Sus scrofa: one gene and its partner. The protein of the gene in region 2 purifies or fractionates together with the protein of the main gene of each other region. This does not show direct contact. Links are inferred from orthologs where the notes say so. Each region holds a gene or a part of one and is shown on either strand. Other genes may lie near its edges. The genes, in order: MARK2 and ARHGEF2.

The links.
Region 1: the proteins of ARHGEF2 (region 2) and MARK2 purify together in Homo sapiens (affinity purification with western blotting; 3 studies listed by BioGRID and IntAct, with this or other methods). This does not show direct contact. The link is inferred for Sus scrofa from reciprocal best matches to the Homo sapiens genes ARHGEF2 and MARK2.

What each region holds. Positions count from the first base shown.
Region 1 is NC_010444.4:8,153,255-8,156,863, forward strand, and holds the end of MARK2 (serine/threonine-protein kinase MARK2), read right to left. Parts: intron 3,450-3,609; coding exon 3,405-3,449; intron 2,793-3,404; coding exon 2,432-2,792; 3' UTR 616-2,431; downstream 1-615. UniProt on the Homo sapiens protein: Serine/threonine-protein kinase. Involved in cell polarity and microtubule dynamics regulation. Phosphorylates CRTC2/TORC2, DCX, HDAC7, KIF13B, MAP2, MAP4 and RAB11FIP2. Phosphorylates the microtubule-associated protein MAPT/TAU.
Region 2 is NC_010446.5:94,067,856-94,071,660, reverse strand, and holds part of ARHGEF2 (rho guanine nucleotide exchange factor 2), read right to left. Parts: coding exon 3,679-3,805; intron 3,474-3,678; coding exon 3,348-3,473; intron 3,035-3,347; coding exon 2,917-3,034; intron 2,715-2,916; coding exon 2,466-2,714; intron 420-2,465; coding exon 343-419; intron 1-342. UniProt on the Homo sapiens protein: Activates Rho-GTPases by promoting the exchange of GDP for GTP.

The DNA of each region.
Region 1 (3,609 bases), on a different chromosome or scaffold from region 2:
TGAGCTGGCCCGAGGCTACTTTCTCTTCCTGGCTGGGTCTGGAACGGCTGCCTCCTCGCCTGCCAGGGCTTGGCCTTTGGGTCCTGCCCTTCGAGTATAGGGGGTAGTGACCATAGCTTGGGGAGCCGGGGAGAGGACAGTTAGGTGTCTTGGCTGTTCCTCCTCTTTCCCTTCTTTTAGCAATAAGTTTGGGGTGAGGTGGGAGGGTGTTGAAGGAGGGAGGTGGGCAGAGAGGCTCTTTGGGGCCTGACGGCAGCGGAGGCTGGAGAAGGGGCTCTTGTGTCTTCAGGGTCAGGTGGGAAGTGCTGAGGAGCTCTGAGGGTGCCCACTGCCCAAAAGCTTAGAGAAAGGGTTGGGAACATATGCAGACATGGGTTTATTTTTCAATGTTTTTAAAAAATAAATAAAACCTTCAAGCTCACTGAATCCTTTCTCTTTTAGTTTAAGTGTCCTGGACGTCGCTTCCTGTCTGTGCCATGAGGATGGGAGTGGGGAGGGCGCCCGCCCAGCACTGGCCTTTCCCCAGGCCCCAGACAGGAATCAAGGCAGGCGGGCTGGGCTGCCCATGGACACTGGGTCCCTGCCCAGCTGGGAGAAGAGACAGGAGGCAGCTCAGATTCCAAACATTCTCTTTATTACGTGTTTGATCCAGAGGAAAAACTAAGTGCAGGAAGGGGGGCTGGGTGGGGAGGGGCCACCTTGCCTGGGAGCCCCCCCCCAGCCACCACCCCCTTTGGGAGCCAAGCCTTGCCCTCCCGGCCCCTCGGAGCACCCGGGCTGTTCCATAGGGCAGGGGAGGGAGAGAGGGAGGGAGGGAGGGAGAGCCCTTGGTAGGAGCCGGAGCCCACAGTCGAGCCCACAGTCTTAGGGCTTGGGGCAGGAGGGCTGAGGTTGGCGGGGCCCCTTCCTGGGACCCAAGGGCTCAACTTGCCGGGGAGCCAGGCCTGGGAGTGGGGGTGATGAGTAGGGGTGGAGTCATCATAAATCAAAAAAAGAAAAAAAAAATAAAATAATAAAATAAAAAATAAAACCCATCACAAAAAAATGTACAACTCAGGTGAGGGTAGAGGCAGCCTCTGTTCAGGACCTCTCCCCCAATTTCTCAAGAACAGAGACAGCAGAGAAATAAATTAAGGGATGCAGCGGCTGCCACCAGCCAAGCGCCCATAACCAGCCACTCCCACGCTGGCTGCGGAGGTTAGCGAGCTGGGAGTCACTTGGCCTATCGGTCCCCCACCCCGCCGCCGAGAGCAGAGGCTCCCCGGCCCTGCTGCCCTATCCAGCCTCCCGCGGAGGCCCCGGGGCAGTGTCTCCTGAGAGGAGGGGTGACAGTGTGAGGAAGAAAAGGCAAGGCCAAGAGATGAGTGGTGAGGGAAGTCACTGCTATGGAACTAGCTGGTGCCCAGATTAATGCCAACGAAGGGGAGCAGTGGGGAGAGGAACGGCGTGGGGGGCTGTGCTTTCAGACAAAGGCTCTCCCAGAACGGAGAATGCCCAGCGTCCCTGTTCCGGAGACTAGCAGCCCAGGCGGCCCCCTGGGGGCCGAGGAGCCCATCTGCCCTGCAGTCCCCTCCCCTCTCCCAGCCCTGGGGTCAGCCCCGCCTTCTACCCAGGAGGGGGTGGGAGAAGATGGCACAGACTTTTTGAGGAGGGGAACAAAAGTCCCCACAGCAGCTTGTGGAAGGAAATGCCCAGCTCTGGGGAAGGAGGGGCAGAGGATACAGTGTGGAGGGAGGCCGGAGCCCCGCGCCCAGCCTGCCAGCCCCAGAGCAGCCGCCAGCCCCACGGCTTCAGGGCTGCGCGGCACCCCCACCCCCAGCCCCCCGCCGCCCAGGCCTCCAGCCCAGGGGCCTGAGGTCAGGGCAAGGCCACCTCTGGTGGTTTACTTGGAGGGGAAGGAGGAGAGGAGAGGGGAGAAGCCCAAAGTGGGCCTGGCGGAGGGCCTAACAGGGAACTCCACCACTCTTGCCTGAGAGTGTTCCAGCCCTGAGCCACCCTCCCGGGAAACCCCGCAGATCCAGTCTCGACTGTCCCAATGGGGCAGGGAGGAAAGGTGGCCGCTGGGATTTTTTTTTTTTTTCTTTTTTCTTTTTGGTAATAAAAAATTTCTTGGTTTAGGCGAAATACTCTGTGCAACCGCAGTACCGAGGGGGAGCCCCGCCCCCCACCCCTCCCTCCCCTTCCTTCGCCTCCTGCGGGAGAGAGGGGGGGAGGGGGACGATCTGGGCAGGGTAACCGTGGTGGGGGCGAGAACCATCTCCCGGCCCCCACAAACATGGAAGAAAAAACTGAGACGGGCGGGGAGGGGAGAAGTGCCAGCAGGGGAGACACACCAATCCATCTCTGCAGTCCGGCCCGGGCGGGCGGAGCGCCGGCCCCAGCAGCTAAGTCCAGCTGGCCGCCTCCTTCGCCCCCCACTCCTGGCAGCCTGTTAAAGCTTAAGCTCGTTGGCTATTTTGGAGGCAATGTTTTTGAAGGCCATGGAGGTGCCCGATATCCGCTTAAATCGAACACCGTTGAGAGAGAGCCGAGGCAGTTTGCACACCTCCATCTCCCACTGCACGAAGTTCTCGTGGCCCGGCGTGCCGTGCATGCACAGCAGCATGTACTTCTCGTGCAGCTCGCTCTGGCAGCTGTTTGCGTCCAGCACCTTGCGGATCTCCCGCATCATCTCGTTGGGCTCCATGGAGCTCGTGGTCTTCATGCTCCACGTGAAGCGAAGTGAGCGGGGCTTGGCCTCCCGAAACTCCTCCTTGTCTTTGTCGTTGCCGCCGCTGCCCACCACGTGAGGTCTGCGGAGAGGGCAGAGGCGGGCGTCAGGCGGGAGCTGGGGCGCCCCACCCATGGGAGAGCCCCCCTGGCACAAGGACCCTGAGACGGAGAGAAGAGCGGGAGGGTGCCAGGAGGCGGCGGTGCTGGAAGAGGGCGCCTCAGACCTGGCCCGGGGAGCGGAGGGAGGGGTGAGGAGGGTGCGCAGTCCTGCAGCCCCCCGGGGGGCGGGGGTGACGAGGTGACAGCTCCAGGCTTTCCTTTGTAGAGGGAGGGGCGGCGAAGAAAGGGGAGCACATGCTCCAAGCCCTGAGCAGTTCGCAGACTGGACAGCAAGAAGTGGCTGATTCGTGGGAAGGGGAGCTTGCCGACAGGGAAGGAGTCTGTACCTCCAAACCCCGGCCCAGGGCTCCTGCTTCCAGGACACACCAGATCTAAGGAGAAGGGCCCGCACCTACTGCAGCAGGGCGGGGGTGGGGGTGGGGTTCTCTGAGGAAAGGGAGACCCCCGAGAGGACGGGGGAGGCAGAAGCACAGGAGGAAGAGCCAGGTGGCAGAAGGACGAGAGGAGCAGGCGGCTCGTGGCAAGCCGGGTGGCCCCGGGCAGGGCCGGCGCTGGCTCCAGCCCTCTCTCACCTGAGCGTCTCCACTCGGTCTTTGCTTTCAGGTTCATTCAGGTTCCTCAAAAAACAGAGCGAGGGAGAGTTTAGTGCTGGGACCTCTGTGAGGGCGGGTCTGGGGAAGTGCCACCGGTGGGTGGGCTGGACCCCAACCCAAAGGCTACTCGCCCATCACCTGGCAGGCCATCGCGGCTCTGTGGCACCTCACAGTGGCAGCTTGA
Region 2 (3,805 bases):
CTCGGATCTTGCATTGCTATGGCTGTGGTATAGGCTGGCAGCTATAGCTCTGATTAGACCCCTAGCCTGGGAACCTCTATGTGCTGCGGGCGTGGCCCTAAAAGGCCAAAAAAAAAAAAAAAAAGAGGATAATAATGGGCCTTCCTCATAGGTGCAAAAGTGCCTGCAGACAGTATCAATACCTGTTAGCAATTCTTATTTGTCATTACATTATAGTAACAGTTATAATAATAGCTGTTTGACTCTGGAGGAGTCCAAGGTTCTTTCAGGCTGGAGTAGGAAATCAAGAAGGGGCCTGAAACACTTGTCTGTGCTGAGAAAGGAGAAGGTGGAAGGTCTCACCAGGGCAGGAAAGATGTACTTCTGGTCCTTCTCCTGGAGAAACACCAGCACATCTGTCATCAGCAGCATCAGCACATCTGACAGGAGGATAAAGGCAGGAGAACACTCAGCATTGGAGGGTGTGAGCAGCTGTTTCCCTTTCTCAGGAACCAGGTCTACCCCGTCAGGCTAGAGCTCCTGATTCCCCTCTTCCTGATCTCTCTGCCTCTGGTTTGCTCCCTCTACCTTTGCAGACTCCCCCTGATCCATTCTTACAGCTCAGGAATTGGGAGAAAAATGTATGTGCCATTAGATAAAACAGCTTCTTGGGCTAAAGCGCCCATAAGCAATCACCCAATGCCTTTGAAAAAAACACTCTATCCAGGGGATGCAGGTTTCTTAACCTGGGGTCTACAGATCCCTAGGATGTCCACTGTTGGGCTTCAGGGCTCTGCAAAGCCTCCAAAGTTGCATAAGCAATTTTACATATTCATACAACACACGTGTAATTTTCAGTGTGCAAAGGTCCAGAATTTATGTGAGGGTAAAAGGATTCCATCCACAGTAGGAGGGACTACTGTTTTTAAGCCTTTCAGTTCCATGTCAAACAACAATCATAAGACCTTTCTGGACATTTGGCCTAAGGTCACCCTATCCCACCACCCCTGCCCCTACCCTGGCGTAGTCCTACTTCTCATTTTGTGCTCCTCCGCAGGGAGGGGAGCAGCTAGCTTCCTTATCCCCCTCTCCCACCGTTGAACAATCCCAGTCTCCAACCTCAGCAGGCCCTGCTTTCATGCTCCTTCTCTACCCCACCTTCCAGGTTCTCAAGATCCTACGAGGTCCTGTGCTCTCAATTTAAAACTTAGGGGGCAGTTCTCTGGTGCCTCCAAGAAGGGTTAAGGATCTGGCATTATCACTGCTGTGGTACCAGTTTGATCCCTGGCCTTGGAACTTCTGCATGCCTCAGGCGTGACCGAAAAAAAAAAGACTTGGGGGAAACAAAGGTCAAGCCCATGAAAACTGGATAGCACAGTCAAGCAAACACACTCACTCTGCCCTTGGAGATCTAATAGTGGGCACACAGAAGGGGAGGGCTTTCACTAAATGCTTCAGAAATAAAGCTCTCCAGCCTTGCTATTTTTAATCCCCCCCAGAGTTTATATTCTTAGCTTCTGCGTGGGAGGGATGAGAGGAGAGAAAGGGATGAAGGAAAGTGGCTGGTGAAGCCTGTGATACTCAAGCCCATGGAGTGGGGATTTCATGATATGGGACAGAGGTGCAGGCAGGTTCTGGTCTCAGGTAGTACTGGTTACTTCTGCCCCTCATTCCTCACCCCCAAAGCCGAAAACTGCAACTCTCTTGTCTTGATTTAGGTAGGAAAGACTTGGCCAGAGCAGTCTGGGAAGAGAGCCTGGGAAAGCATGCCCTGCCCCAACATGCCCCCTCTGTACTCTCTTCTCTACCCTGCTGGCCCCTCCCTGGGCTCCGCCCCCTCCCCTGGGCCTTCCCCAACTGTGCTCCCAAAACTCCTGCCCATTCCCCAGCCCCAGCAGCTGGGATTCAAGCTGGAAGAATCAACCCTGATCTCTGACCCTGGAATTTCTCTGTCTTCCTGATCAAAACTGGTAGGTTTCTGGGTATACAAGGACCAAAAAAAAAAAAAAAAAAAAATCACTAAGGAAGTCCTTGTATGGCCCATGAAATTAAATCCAGAATTCAGACTTTTGTTGCAACAGAGAACATGTATTTTCCTCCCATGAGGTTTCACCCAGGATATAGGGCTGCATAAATAAGTCCTGAAGGAGGAGTAGCTCAGTGGTTAACGAACCCGACTAGTATCCAGGAGGACGAAGGTTCAATCCTGGCCTTGCTCAGTGGGTTAAGGATCCCGCATTGCCATGAGCTATGTTGTAGGTCACAGATGTGGCTGGGATTTCATGTTGATGTGGCTATGGCTGGCAGCTATAGCTCTGATTGAACCTCTAGCCTGGGAATCTCCATATGCCACAGGTACAACCCTAAAAAGACAAAAGACCAAAAAAAAAAAAAAAAAAAGTCCTAAGTGTTTGGATGCTTCTCCCTCTCTAAATCTGATCGTGGACTCGCAGACTCTTCCCTGGTCTGCCAAGCTGACCACTGACCTTTGAAGCGCCCCGCTGCTGTCTTCCAGAGCAGGCAACCATCGTGAATGAGCTTGCGCCGCAGAAGCTCCTCTCGGCCAAAGGGGCCCTTGCCAGGCACTGGGGTCTGGGCCCTGGGGTCCATGCGGTTGTAGATCTCCTGCAGGCGGGCCCCCTTCTCCAGCTCATGTACATCCTGGTCCACATTGGACAGCAGCTCCTTTACCAGCCCCAGTGCCGTCGTCAGGTCCTGGCGCTCCTCCTCGATCCCTGGCACCACGGGTCGGCGTGAGGGAGAAGTGGCTTAGCCAGCTTCATGCCAGCCACCATACTCCAACCCATCTCACCTCACCATCAGAGGTGGCCCACGGTCCCACAGCTGACTCTATCTCTCCTCTTGGTTATCCCAAGCCGCTTCTCACCCCAGAGAGCCCTCTCCCCATCTTCTTTCCTCCCGGGTCCTCCCTCTCACCGTGGGTATGCTGCAGGATGCGGCTGATGAGCACCGGGTACTTGGTGATGCGCTGAGTCACCAGCAGGATGCACTCCTGTACCCCATGGCGCTTCAGCACGGCTGAGCGGGTCACTTTCTAGAAGGACAGAGGCAGGGCTCAGGGCCAAGGTGGGACCCGAGCCGAGGACAACAGAAAGAACCCTGGACTTGGAGCCTAAGCCCTGGTGTGGGCCCTAGCTTGGCCATTTACCATGCGCTGGCTGGCATAGGTGACTGAGACTGGAAAATGGGGAGGACAAGGCCATGGGTTTATCATGAGGCTCAAAGTAGCAAAAGCACTTGGTCTACTGCTATGGGGGGCTGTTGACAGGATCCACAGGCAGATGTGTCTACAAGGGCTGGACCACCGGAGGAGGTTCTGAGTTTGGGTCCTGGAGAGGGTTGCTCACCCGGATAAACTGCTGGAAGCGTTTGTCTCGGGCATAGAGCTCCTTATAGAGCTTTAAGGCCTTGGTGTGGCGGCTACAGAACTCCGAATAGGTCTTCCGCATCTGGTCTGCGCTGGGACCTGAGAACTAGAAGTTGGGGGAGCAAGGCTGGGTCAGCATTTCCCCCAAAGCCACCTCTTATCCCCCACACCCTCTAGTCTCCTGCCATACAGGCTGGCTTCCAAGCCTCTCCAGCTCTCCCTGGCTCCACCCCCTAGAGTTTGGAGCTGAAAAATGACTTTAGTCACACCTCCTCCCAGGAATGTTGCCCATGGGTCTTGTCTTTTCTCACCTGGGTGATGAGAAGGTCACCCAAGCGATGGATGACAAAGTTCCGGGGGCTGCCAGGGCACAGAGCCTGGCGTCGGCGTTCTAACAGCTGGCTGAGGAAGCGTGTGTGGATGTCACTAAGCTCGTCC